Linked DNA regions of Rhinolophus ferrumequinum. The protein of the gene in region 2 purifies or fractionates together with the protein of the main gene of each other region. This does not show direct contact. Links are inferred from orthologs where the notes say so. Each region holds a gene or a part of one and is shown on either strand. Other genes may lie near its edges.

Region 1 (6,943 bases), on a different chromosome or scaffold from region 2:
CTGTGGTGACACAGGGAAGACATGCCATCTACATGCCAAGGCCAGAGGCCTGAGACAGAAGCAACCCAACGGACACCTTGATCTTGGCCTTCCAGCCTCTAGTGACAGGGACAAGCAATGGCTGTTGTTCTGTGCTGGTGTTATGGCAGCTGAAGCAGACCAACACAGGCAGGAGCATCAGCCTGTTCTGCAGCACGTCCCAGGGCCAGTGGCCCCAGCATCACCAAAGACCCACAAGAGCCGTCAAACCTCCTAGTCCTGGCCCTGAAGGTCTGCAGATGGCTCCATGGGACGCCAATGAGTAGGCACCAAGGGCTTCAATAACCACATCTCATACACAGGACACTTTTCTGAAAAAGTGCGACAAGGTTCCGCTCTGCAAACACTGTCTGCCCAGCCCCTTGATTCTCAGTGCAGGGTGCCCCAAGATGCTGGACACTGCTGGCCCCTAACTTCTGCAGGCCTTAGAGCCAGTCGACACCAGCGGGTTAGACACTAAGACAGAGGAACAAGGGGTCCCCAACACACCCCTAAGTGGGCTCGTCACTCAATCTGGGGCTCAGCGGGGGGCCGTGAGCAGCAGTGCAGGAAGGAGCTGGTGGGAGTGGAAGCTGCACTCACAGGTGAGAGGTGGGGCAGAGAGGACAGAGTGGGTCTGAGGTCAGGAGTGGTTGGGGCCCTGGCGGGAAGGTCTATGGTAATCCTGGTCGGAGAAAATGGCTGAGGAAGAGAGAATGGGGAAGTGGATTGAGGAGGAAACTGGAAAAGGCTCTTGGAGGGGTCAGAGGTCAGTGGTATCACCCACAGCATGAAGGAGCTCTCTCCTCAGGGTAGGCAGAAGGAAAAGGGCCACCGTTGACTCTGAGTCACACAGCAGGGGGCTGCGATGAGCTGGACCCTGCGCTGCCGCTCGGCTGGCCCGACTAGAACCATGACACCTCAGGCACTGGCAAGGCCCTCACCTGGGAAGAAGACAAACATCTGGTCAGTGGGGTCATCATTGTGGGCCACCAGCACTGTGAGGTCCGTGCGCCGCGGCCGCCCTTCACTTGGCTTGTCCCCGAACTGGGCTTTGAACTCCTCCAGCGTCTGGTCCAACTCATCCTGCGTCACCAGGTAGCCACGGTCATGGCACAGCTGTGGACAGAAAGAGCCAGGTGACCCCAGGGCAGAGGGGGAAGTGCAGCAAGAGCCTGGGCGTGATGAGGCCACCGTGAGGATGACGCAGGGAGTTTGGGACCGTGTGGCAGGTGTGTGCAGAGGCCAGAGAAGAGGGACAGGGCAGGTGGGGACAAAGACCGGGTGCCTCTGAGGCTGCCCCTGCACTGCTCCGGTTACAAGCTGCCGTCCATAGTGTCATTTTATGCTGAACCTCGGGGCAGCCGTAATTGGGGAGCAAATAGCAGTAGGGCTGGGACTTAAGGTGGGGCTCTTTGAGGCCAGAGCCAGCCCTGGGGTCTGGGGCAGAGGGAGACAGCCAGGTGGGAAGGGTAGACTCTAGGGGCTCTGAGGGTGGCACTTCTGGGTCTCACCTCAGAAATCGGGGCTCTTTGAATGGGCTGACTAGAAGACCCATTGAAGAAAGGGGAGGTCAGAGAGCAGCCCTACACCCATCCCCTTTCCTCTGTGAAGTCCCCACAGCCTGATTCCCTCTCAGGATCCCCAACACCCACCGTCAGCCTGAAGCACATGTGTTTTGGTCCCTGTCTGTCGTAGCTTCACAAAGCGGTGGAGAGGCGGGGTGCGGCTGCGCAGGTTTAGTCCCGGCAGGATTCCTGCGCCGCTGGGTGATCTTGGTCAAGACCCCACACCTCCGTGGGCCTCCGAGGATCACCCTGGCCTCTTCCGTGGGGTGGGTTAAAGTATGTGGCATATAGTGACTGCTTAGCCAGCTGGCTGCTGTCACTCTAGTATCTAGAGTAACTCCAAGTTGCTGGCTGAGGCGTTGAAGTAGCCACCGGACACAGGTCTGAGAGATATGCCTGCACTGGATGGCAGGTCAGATCAGCTGACCCGGGTTTCTTCCAACCCCACAAGACTGGGATTCTGTGTCACGTACGTGGGGTAATGCTGGAGGATTCCAGGAAGTAAACAAGTGGAAGACCAGGTGGTCTTTCGTGTACTGTCTCTCTCTCTCTCCAGCTCAAGTAAGGCAGTGGGTGAAAACTGGCTTCCATGGGAAGTTAACCTCACAGGGTGATCTGATCCTAAACCCCTAACTGGGAAGGTCACGGGGGGTGGTCACACCCAGGTGTATAACTTTCTTAGTAAAAGGCTTGTCTTGGCCTGTCCATTGTTCATGTGCATCTAGGTTCACACACCTTTGAAATCAGCGTTACCACCCTCACAAAGAGTTAATCTCGTTAACTATTCCCTAATCCAGTTCCACCTGGCTTTCTCCCACCTCCCTGTCATCTTCCTCACCTTCCCTCCTTAATTCCAAATGCACAAAAGAAACTGCAGAACTCGAAGCATTTGGGATCGAAGGATTTGCTTCTTGGCATGTCGTCAAATAAACTCTTCCAAATATTCTCTACAGAGTCGTTCGGACCTTTCTTACGTCCGCAAGACCCTGACACGGAGAGGGCGAACATCCTAGGCAGACAGACCCGACTCCAGCACCTCGGACTCACGACTGGGCCGCGCGCGGGTCTGTGGGGTCCCTTAGGCCTGCAGAGACCCTCGATGCAGCCCCGGGAGCCGCCTTGGTCCAACTCCTCCACTCCACCCGCTCGGGCGGGGGTCGTGGAGGCTGGTTCCCGTTTGCAGCCTTTGCACTCATCGTCCGCCCCCCGGACCGCTGCGTGTCCGGCTCGCCTGGCGCAGCGAGGCCGGCCCTCTCCGCGCTCACCTGCATGATGGTTTTGCGGATCTTCCAAAGCCGGTAGGTCTCCTCTTCGTCGTCCATGCCTGCCGCCACTCACACTCACTGCGTCTGCGCCCGGCGGGACCCGCGCCTACTGAGCCTGCGCCCAGCCCCGGTCAGGCCCCACTCAGCTCAGGGCTGTCGCCAGCGAACGCCTGAACGCAGCGACCTCCGGGAGCAGCAGCGCCAAGGGCAACCCGAACCTTTCGAGAGAGATGGTTGGCTGCGCGAGAGACGTGCGAATGGCGTCGCCCACCTTCGCCTCGGAAGGTCTCGCGTGGTTTTGGGCGCAAGTTGTAGTTTCCGCTCAACGCCCGCCTCGGGACGTCCCGGCCGTTTAGAATCCCTACAGGCAGAAGCGAAAAAACGGAGGGCGGGGAAACTGCGGCCCGGATGGGATCGGGGGTCTGCTCTCCTCCCAGGAACGGATGGGTGGCCTAGGAGACGCTACATAAATATTTATGCATCCAACTGTAGGGGGTCCTCTTAGTTGCCTCTTGATCACATCCAACCTAATGGCCCCAGCTTCATTTTTCCCTGTCTGTACATTGGAATTTATAAAATGTCTCCATTTTAGAGGATTAGCTGAGGATCTAAAGGGGCTCCCGTGCTTGGGAGGTTGGTATAGCTCCTGGTGCTTATGTTGGGCTCCCACCTCTGTCCTCCCCACTTCGTCCCCTGAACCCCAGCCCGCCTCTGCCTGGATACCCCACCACCCAGTTCATACAGGAAGCTCAGCCAGCAGCCCAGCCCCTGACACTTAGGAGGCCATGAGTAACTTCTCATTCATTGATACATTCATTCAATCAGATACCGCCAACCACAGGGCAGGGAAGAAGCCAAGCACCCCCTTACATTCCAGGGAGAGTATAGACAGTGAACATAATAGACTGTGGACGGAAAAGGGGCCACACATTAAACCTGACACGTTCAGGAGACTGAAAATAACCACATAAGATGGCGTGAGCATAAAAATAATTTCGTAACTAAGTGGGCCATGGCAGGAAGTCGTATCTTTAGCCAAAAGCTTCCTTCATAAAGTTCATCTGTGCCTTTAAGAGGACCTGTCTATTGTCTTTTTGCACCTAAGATGACATCCTTGGAATGTCAGTAATTGCTATTTCCGGACCAGAGCAGGAAAGTACACGATCTCTCATTATTATTCTTGTCCCTTGGTTAACATCTCTATGAGAACTATTAACTGTCCTGTACCCACCTATGTGAAAGAAGTACCTGTCTCTCGAATTTACTTTTATCCAATCCCAGAGATTTCCCCGCTTTGCTTTCTCCCACCTCCTTAATCTACCACCAGTGGATTTCATGTAACCCTCCTCCTTTGATTCTCTGTATAAAACAAGCTGCAATCCGCCATTTCGCGGAGCATTTTCTTAGTCCGTTGAGATTTTACTTCCCAGCAGTTGTCGTCACTTTGACTCAAGTACACTCTTATAAGCTTTTTCTTAGGCTTTTTCTTTCTGGATGTTTTTCGTTGACATTTCTTTGCATAGTCAGCAGGATTCCAAAGAAACCCACCCAGGACCACCCTGCGGACCAGGATTCGGTGCTCGGTACCAGCAGAGCCCATTGTGCCCCACCGGCTCCCTGCCTCTCATCGGGTGAACTTGAGTGAGTTTTTCTTGGAATTTTGGACCTTCCTGTTTTAAGGTAGGAGGTCCTGACTTTATTTGAGCTGTTTGTTTGCTTGTATTTTAAACCTCGAGTTGGCGTTAAAGGTTAAGGGTTGAGATAACCCAGGTTAAGGATAAAGAGTTAAGATAACTTGGGGACAGGAGGGAAAAATGGGTGGCTGGTTTTAATTTTGGCTTTTCAATTGGAATTGTTTACTGCGAGTCTGAACAAAACTTTTTGCTGGATAAATGAGAGTCTGAACTTGTTGAACTCCGAAGATAAGGGGCATTTACTCCCTCCAGCTCGAATTTCGGGTATTCTTAGGTGACTAAGAATCTTTGTGGAGGTGTTTGGGGGTACTCCTCAAAACATGCAGTGGCCTCAGAGGCCACTGCAATTAAATATTTGCACATTTATATACACAACTAAATGCACAATTAAATACACAACTGCAATTAAATATTTGACTCGTCCGGGGACGCGCACATAAAGACTGGTTACCTAGCGCTCCGAGTCCTCATGGTTGTACTAGACAGCTGGGGAGAGAAACTGAGGCACATAAGAGGGTTGGAGCGACTCGGGAGGTAACAGCCCCTTGGAGCTCCACCCATAAGCAGCACACTTGAACTCACTACACAATATCACTAGAAATTTGTGCAGACTCTGCAGATCTCAAAAGAAAACTAAAAATTAACGTGGGAAGTAGTGCCTCTAAGGCTGACAAGCTCCCAGACCCCACCTCCATTAATTCCCCTGCAGATGTACAGTTTCTAGGGAGTCTACTTGCAAGTACTTACAGACATGGAAAGGTTTAACTAGAAGTGATATCAACTTCAGATGGCCAAAATGGAGCTCTTTCGACATCTAAATTAATATTTTTTGTGCACAATTAGAAAAAGCCGGCTTAAAAACCAAACTAAATGGAATGGGATGCTTACCTCAATTGGCAAATAGAAAGAAGCCTCTGAAATGGAATAGAGAGACAGTCTTCTCTCCAGGAAGTTAGTAAGGAAATTTTAGATACCGTCTCAAAACTGAAGAAGGTTCCTGCAGCTGCTCAGTGCCAGCACCGCACTTTGCCCTCTCCTCCGACTGTCCCACTGTGTGCTTTACCTGTCTGCACCTGCTCGCCTTTTCCTCCATCTGTCTTCTGCCACTCTGTTCCAGCTCCCTTTGGAGAGGAGCTGGTCTTGGGCGGAGGGGAAGGGAATCCGCGGTTAAAATTTTGCTAGGGAAACTACTGTAGAGGAATCTGCTTTTATTGTAAAAAGACAAGTTACCTTAAGGATTGTAGGAAACTAAAATAGGTTTAAGAAAAATAAAAGAAATAGAAGCGAGCATAGGGCTGCTCCAAGGACTATGAGGGCTTTTCCCCTTCTTACTAACACTGGGGCTACTTTCTCTGTTAACACCACCAGGCTAAGTTGCCCTCTCCCTTGGAGTAAAGCTTCTGTACAAATGGTAGGGACATCTAATCAACCAATGTCTGTTTAAATCAGAACCCATTCCTCTCTAGCTAGGAAATGTTAAGTGGCAACATCTATTTTTACTACTCAAATCTGCCCCAATTCACCTGATAGTGTGAGACTTTGTCACCAATGATACTCACATATCCTCCCAGAAGGATGAAATGTATTTAGGACTAAATGAATCAGATTGGGAATGGGAAAATAATGATTTTAAAAGAAACAATATGAGAGGAAACTAGTCTTGATACTGACGGAGTGTTTGTTACAGGATGTTCCAATACAATTTTAGGCTTTCTCCAGTACAGATATTGATTGGCAATATTAAGTTAGCCACTCCCATTAAAGTAACTATTGACAGTTCTTTGCCTCTACCTAATTATTTGCCAATATCCTTTGAAGCCTGATACACCAGCTGGAATTAGCTCATTATACAAGATTACCTTTAACGGGGGGCTTATCATTCCAGGTGTGAGCACCTGTAATTCTCCTATCCTTCCAGTAGAGAAACCCAATGGGAAAGGATGGAGATTTGCACAGGATCTCAGAGCTTTAAATAGATATCCTATGGTTCCAAATCCACATACCCTATTATCAGCTATTCCTGTGTGTACTGCCAATATTTTCAGTGATAGATTTATGTAGTACCCTTTTCAGTATTCATGTAAAAAAAAAAAAGAAAAAGAAAAAGACAGGAACTATCTCTGCTTTTCCACCTGGGAAGATCAGAGTTTACTTGGACAGTAATATCCCAGGGGTGTACACCTATTTCTCTCAGATACTAAAAGCTGATTTGAATAATGTTGAATTTCCCAGAAATTCTACTCTAATCCAATAATATATGGATGATTTATTCTTATGCTATATGCAATAGCTTCCATGGTAAACCTAGATTTGAGTTTCTTATTTACTTGAATAAGATCAGCCCACCAAACTGAATTAATTGATCTAACAGGAGCTTGTAAATGAGCCGAAGATCAAA
Region 2 (6,937 bases):
TCATTACTAGCCGCCTTGATCTCTCTTCATCAGTGACGCGTTCTCTCCCCTCAGAAAAACATTTAATCCATTTGTACACTGCAATTTTCTTCATAGCATTATCCCCATAAACTTCGACTAACATGTCCCTGATTTCACTTCCACTCTTTCCAAATTTAACGAGAAATTTAATGTTTGTTCATTGCTCTAATTCAAGCACAGACATTCGCGAGATGGCACACAAAAACATGCAACAACAATAATGAATGCCACTTAGCAAGACACCGCCACACGTCGACATGAACACAGCTGTGAGACACTGATATACTAAAGTTATGAAACCTTACTGAGCTCTTTGTACAATGCTGCCAATGTAAGTGCATAGTGGCAAGTTCGCGAACTTAACTGGCAGACCTGGTACTTTTAAAATTCGAGCTTTTGCTTATGTACATTATATTTACCACAGTAGGATTAAAAGTGAGAAAATTTTAAACCATTTATTTATTAATTCATTTAATAATAATATACAATTTACATGTTAACATTTTGAAATAAAAATTTAGTGTCGGGGCGGCTAGATGGCTCAGTTGGTTAGAGTGCGAGCTCTGAACAGGGTTGCTGATTCGATTCCCACATGGGCCAATGAGCTGCACCCTCCACAACTAGATTGAAGGACAACGACTTGGAGCTGATGGGCCCTGGAGAAACACACTGTTCCCCAATATTCCCCAATAAAAAATTAAAATAAAATATTTAGTGTGAATAGTGGAATTATTTTATATTTTTGCAAAGTTCTTTAATTTCTGGCTTAAAACTATTCATTTGGATTGAATATAGAAGTATTTTGCAATTGGAATAAATTTATAAAGGATCGTTTCCCTCAACAACTATTTGGTTACCCCATGGATTTTTAATTGTTTCATCATCTTGAATGATCTGCTCAAAATAAAATATAATCTCTTCAGGTTTGTGGTCAGATCAGTGTTGAAGAAAGTTGCAAATTACCATCATTATCAATATTAACTAAACTCACTCTATTGTGGTGGTCTGAAACTGAACACGTACTACCTCCCAGGTATGCCTGTACTTTCCAAAACAGATCTCCAATTCATCCAATTTCTCCATTCCCAGATGATCACCTCCCCTAACACCTTAAAACTTTTTAAACTTAAATTCCATTACTTTATTACTTAAAGTTTTTCCATTTGCACTTAGAAAATCTAAATTTCTCACCATTGCCTATTAGGTCTATATGAATGGAATCCTGCCTCTCTAACCTTTTCCTATGCTCCTTACTTCCCTTGCTCAGAATGCTGGCACATCATCCTGGGCATCTCTGCTTTCTTTAAATGACCGTGCCTTTCTTGTCACACGTACTCCCACTTCTGACTATAGGTCTCTCCTTACTACTCTTTGATTAATGTCTACTTAGCCTTCAGGACTCAGCTTATTCTGTTCTCAAAAGTCCTTCCCTAAAAACCCACAAAACTCCAGCTAACCTGGACTCCTGTTACTCCTCCTCCTTTACAGCACTTATTACAATTTGTAATTATATATCTATTTTTGATAATTTAATTGGTATTTCTCTGTTCAACTAGTTAACTATGTCTATTCTGTTCAAAACCATATCCTTGGGGCCTAATACAAGTCTGGTATATCTTACACTCAGTAAATATTTTTGAAAGATTAATTGAATTAAGACAAAGCCAACACTTCATAAAATGATGTATCACAGGTATGTATTTTTTAATCATCTCAGACTACTCCTACTCTAGAAACATTTTGTGACAGAAGATAAATCTTGTCTTTTTAGAAGCCAAGAGACAATACAGGACAACTTCTTGTTGAAAATTTGGACATGATACAAACATGGGACAGACAAGGCTTCTTGGAGTCTCTAACACATAAAGCAAAAAAAGGAGTATACAAAGAGGTGGAAAAAGAGTACTTGGTTAATTCAGGAACGTCTATTCCCATGTACACCTTTCTACAGATACTCATACACCTTCACCAGCAACCTAAAAATGTCTGATTTGGTTTTCTTAAAGCATGGAGTAGGGGGATATAACTGTCTATGTGAGAATTTATAGTGCTTTCAGATCTTCCCCTTCTCATAATAAATTTCTCTAAGGTAGCACCCATTATTGTTTTTAAAAATGGTTCAATTAATATGAGATAAACAGCTAAGTGAATGCAGTTGTCCAAGTAGTTTTCATACCTTTTAGAAGCATCTTGCTGTTTCAAAGCACCTGTCTGTTTAGTACCTAAAATTAAAAAACAAAGTTAGTCAAGTCTGCACACATTAGGTTATAGAACAGATTCCTGCCCAAATAAACTGTATATCATCTTTTCTTCTTTTCCACATATTTAAAATGAAATGGGAAGGGAATCCAATTTGTTTTTGTAAATTAATTATTCCCAAATTTTTCCTGGTTAACATGTATCTCCTTCGGGATTGAATTTTCTCCTGTATCATAGATGCATACTTAAGCACTCGTGAAAAATCTGAAATCTGGGTACTTTTAGGGGAAGCCTCTCTCCGGCCCTCAAATGTTCACTCCCTGGCAAGAAGGGAGGTGATTCTCCAATACCTCAGAGAACAGGGGCACCAAAGCCGCAGGACAAATGGAAGGACCGATGGGAGGTTCACCGGCAGCCGCACACCGCTGGCTGATGCCGCCCTGCTCACTTGCCCATTCTGGCGACTCCAGCTCTAGGCTTCCAGGAACTCTACTGTCCTTTCCCTCAGAGGCCATCTGGGGGAAAATCTTGGAACGCTAGTGTAAAGATTTGGGGGTTCGGCCGAAGGTCTTTCCCAGGGGGCGCGAGGACGGCGGTGGGAAGCTCTTGGCCTTCTCCGTCCCCGAAGACCTCCACCCCCGAGAAAGCTTTTCGGGAGCACCCCGCGCGCCTTAATCTAGAACCCTGTAGGGGCTCAGTTCTCGGGGTCAAAACGTGGAAAGAGGCTCTTTTGCCTACCTGCGGCGTTTCGGCGGGGGCGCGGGGCCCCAGCCTTGCGGCCCGCGGAGGGTTGCCAGGCCGACTCAGCCATGGAGAGCGTCGTCCGACTATCGCGTCCGACCCTAGAGTTTCCCCCTGAGGCTCCGCCTCCCCTTGCGCAGCGCGGGGCGGGGCCGACCGGAGTGGGGCGGGGCTCGGAGAGCGGCCTACGCGGCCAGAAGAGGAGGTGGAGGAGGACGCTGAAAGGGGCAAGAGTCCTGGCGGGTAAGTGGACGCAGCGGGAGGTCCCGGACGGCGGGGGCTCGCGGCGGGCCTTGAGCCGCGGAGGATGCGGTGCCGCCGGCCGATTAGGCCCGGCGAAGTGGTGAGGCCCGAGCGCCACGACTAGCAGGAATCAGGAGAAATGGCTTCCCTTGGATGCCGCCCGCACGCGCGCTGGGGTTTTGTCCGCCCTGGAGCGCGCTGCGGTGAGGACCCCCGGACCCGCGCGCCCTTCCTGCGGAGCTGGTGCCGGGCCTTCAAGCTGGGAGAAACGATGGCCAGCGGGAATGGAACGGGGTTCTCCTGAGCGCCGCCGGTTGATCTCACTGACTGGATTGATTATTTTGGGTACTTCATTTCTTAAGGGAAATGTCCTGGTCACACAGGGGCTGGAGGGCATCTGAACTTCCACCCATTCTGGGTGAGTTGTGTTGACTTCAATTTTTGTCAAGTAGGACATTAAAAAATGAGAAATTCCCTGTTGATTAGAATTGATTTTAGGCCCACCTTTTGGAAATGTTTTCAGAAATGAAACACTTTGCCTTTTCAATGCACTTTGTGTAGTCCCTATTTGCCGTCCTTTTGGGAGTGCTCTAGAGGTTTTTATTTTCGGATGTATCTTTCAAAACTACACTAAGCAAAGCTGTGTTTAAGAAAACTTGAAAAGGTGCAATAGTTTTTTTTTAAATAAACTTTTCTTAGGTTAACAGACTACTTTTAGTAGTAGCATTTCAGCATTAAAACTACATTTTCTTTATTGTATTTAAAAATTCATCAGAATGAAATATCACTTATTAATACTTAAATGTAATATTTCTGATAGTTAACTGTGTTTTATGTTAGTACATTTCAGTCTCAAAGCTAGGAAAAATAAGGAGGAATGGCTGTGGAGGAACTTCAATCCGTAATAAAGAGATGTGTAAGTAATTTTTCTTTTTGTAAAGTTAAATATCTTTCAAAATATGAGAAGGGCATAGATTATTTTTAATTATATTTGTAGTCACTCGAATTGTTTATCTTCTTTAATCCTTGCTTTTTTTGACCTATGTATAAATAGTGATAGGGCAGGAAGGCAATTGGGTTATTTCTCCAAATGACATACTTTTCTAAATAACCTTTAAAATTTTTAATCTTAATCCTTATTAAAGGTTTCTTTGATATAGTGGATTTCAGGATCATTCACTAAAGTATTTATTAGGCTAATCCTAATTTTCATACGTATGTTTATGTGTAACTTACCTACAATTTAAACAGATTTCCTTTTTTTCAGAGAGAAAATATATCAAGTCATTATTGAATTTTTATTTGCCTAAACATGTTTGGTTTTTGTTTGTTTGTTTGCCAGCAAATCCTAGAAGAGCGAGACTTCAAAGAAGAAGATTTTGGTCTATTTCAGTTAGCAGGACAAAGATGCATAGATGAAGGGCACATAGACCAGCTATTAGAAATTATTCAGAATGAAAAGAATAAGGTAAGTATAATCTTTGTGCAAACTTTTCAGCCTTTACCTGGAAGAGAATATCCACACGATGCTATTATTCATCCATTCATTATCCATCAAACATTTAAGAATCAACTAACTTAAATTTCCACAGGAGGAAACTAGAAACAAAAAAGGAATTGGGACTATATACTTTAAGGTACTCACAGTCTGGTGGAAGAGACAAACATGTAAACAACTAGCATTAAGGAGGCAGAATGAATAAAATAAGTGCTATAGTTGAAGTATAAGTAAAGTGCTTTAGGAGAGCAGGGATTACATCTGGTTGAACCATCACAAGTAGCATTTGGGTCACGAATTTACCTTGAGAAATATAAGTATCAGGCAGGCTAGGTATTAATTTTTGGTGATTGCACATTCTGTTCCTCCAGCCAGAAGTATATAGAAAACCAAATATTAAGTAAGATAACATTTTGGGTATATAATATTTTGAGTAGATAAAATCAGAACGGGAAAGCTGAATGACTTGGCCAATATGATCCAGCTACGAATGTCTGATAAATCATTCTCTGCGATGGGAAAGGATCTTTTGAGGATCAGAAACAGCTTTTTCTCAGAAACATGTTGGCAACACTGCCAAATTTTGTGTCTTTGGACTCCGCTTCTTGTACAAAGGAGGAGCATCTTCTTTTCCAGGACACACTTTTTCTTCCTTTATGGTGCTATTTATTTCTACAGAAGTTTTCTTTCTTGCTATCACAATCTAGACGTGCTGGTCAGTGATTATATCCAGGATACCTTTATTGTGTTTGGGAAATTACTAAAACTTTTAAATCACACATTGTTGTAAATTCTCTTAGTAGTTTAAAGGGCCAATCCCTTTTTTATTTAAGAAAATATTTTTAGAAAAATTAGGACATTTGTTTAATACATTTGTTTTTGGTGTGTTTATGGTACCTTTGTAGCCCAAAATAAAGTAAATTTAATGTTTTCTTTAATTCCTTGATTTTTTCCAATTGCATTCTCAGAGGATAACCTTTCAAAGTACCTTACTTTTAGCTAGTAATAATAAAATTAATAATAGCTAATATTTATTGAGTATTTACTATGTGTCAGATACTGTCTTAAGTGCTTTACATCTGTTAACTCATGTAGCCTCTCCAGAATCCCATGATGTACTACTGTTAAATTCATTTTGTAGATAAGGAAACAGGCGCTGAAAGATAAGTGACTTGCCCAAAAGTAACAGATTTTATGCGGCATCCAGGATTCAGACCTGTGCAGTTCGGTTTTAGAACTTTTATCCACTCGGCTCTGCCTCCAGTGAGCACGATGTAGCACTTGCATGGAAGGTTTAGAGTAGAATAGAGGGAACTCATTGATTGTGGGGGTGAGAGAGAGTGAGACATCAAAGATGGCTAGGTTTCTAGCCTCTGAGAGGGTAGAAACATCCCAAACAGAAAACGGCTACCTAAGAAGAGAAGTTTCCTAAAGGAGGACAAATAAGTGTACTTTGGAAATGGTGAGTTTAAGATGCAGTATGTAATTGAAAAATAGTGTGGAGCTCAGTAGAGAACTAGGAGATTCAGATGTAGATTTGTGCATGACTATTAGAGATTAGGTGATTGTGGTAGATTTAAGAATAGTGAGGCTTAGTCTTAGTAGCTTGAGAATCATCTTTGTAACATATGGTCAGCTAAATTCAGAGGTTCAGATATTGATAAGACAATGCTTAAAAACTGACTGCAACTTATTTTTTTTTGCCAGTGACACAATCAAGATTGATCAAGATTTACTATTAATCTACTTCATGTAAATGTTTTTTTTAAAGAAAGCCATATGAATAGTTTGTCCTAAGATACTTATAGTGCGGGGTTTCTCAACACTGGCACTATTGATATTATAGCAATCCTCCCCCCCAGGAATGACAATCAAAAATGTCTCCAGACATTGCCAAATATGTCCTGGTAGATATCAAAATTGCCCCCATTGAAAGCCATTGGTATAGTGGGGAAAGCACGGGCTTTGGAGCTAGAGAGACTTATATGCAAATCCTGCTGTGCCACATTTTAGTTGTTGGACATTGGGCATGTCAGTAATCTCTAAACTTCGGCATTCTCATCTGTCAATTGGGGATAATAATCTTACCCTGTAAGGTTGCTAAGATTAAACTAAACAGTATAGCTTATAGATAGTTGATATTTGCCTTCCTCATAACTAACTATTCACTATTTACATAATGACTGGATTCCTTGTAACTGAGATTATGTTTGTAAAATATTTTACCATAATTAT

The links. Proteins that work in one complex are often made in the same cells at the same time.
Region 1: the proteins of RPAP2 (region 2) and POLR2E purify together in Homo sapiens (affinity purification with mass spectrometry; 4 studies listed by BioGRID and IntAct, counting the BioPlex papers as one, with this or other methods). This does not show direct contact. The link is inferred for Rhinolophus ferrumequinum from reciprocal best matches to the Homo sapiens genes RPAP2 and POLR2E.

What each region holds. Positions count from the first base shown.
Region 1 is NC_046301.1:61,883,726-61,890,668, reverse strand, and holds the start of POLR2E (DNA-directed RNA polymerases I, II, and III subunit RPABC1), read right to left. Parts: upstream 3,061-6,943; 5' UTR 2,909-3,060; coding exon 2,852-2,908; intron 2,203-2,851; exon of another isoform or gene 1,692-2,202; coding exon of another isoform or gene 1,674-1,691; intron 1,138-1,673; coding exon 963-1,137; intron 1-962. UniProt on the Homo sapiens protein: DNA-dependent RNA polymerase catalyzes the transcription of DNA into RNA using the four ribonucleoside triphosphates as substrates.
Region 2 is NC_046292.1:69,719,974-69,726,910, reverse strand, and holds the start of RPAP2 (putative RNA polymerase II subunit B1 CTD phosphatase RPAP2), read right to left. Parts: upstream 3,085-6,937; 5' UTR 3,032-3,084; coding exon 2,959-3,031; intron 2,244-2,958; coding exon 2,198-2,243; intron 1-2,197. Other genes in the region: GLMN (glomulin), read left to right, coding at 4,082-4,120, 4,547-4,672.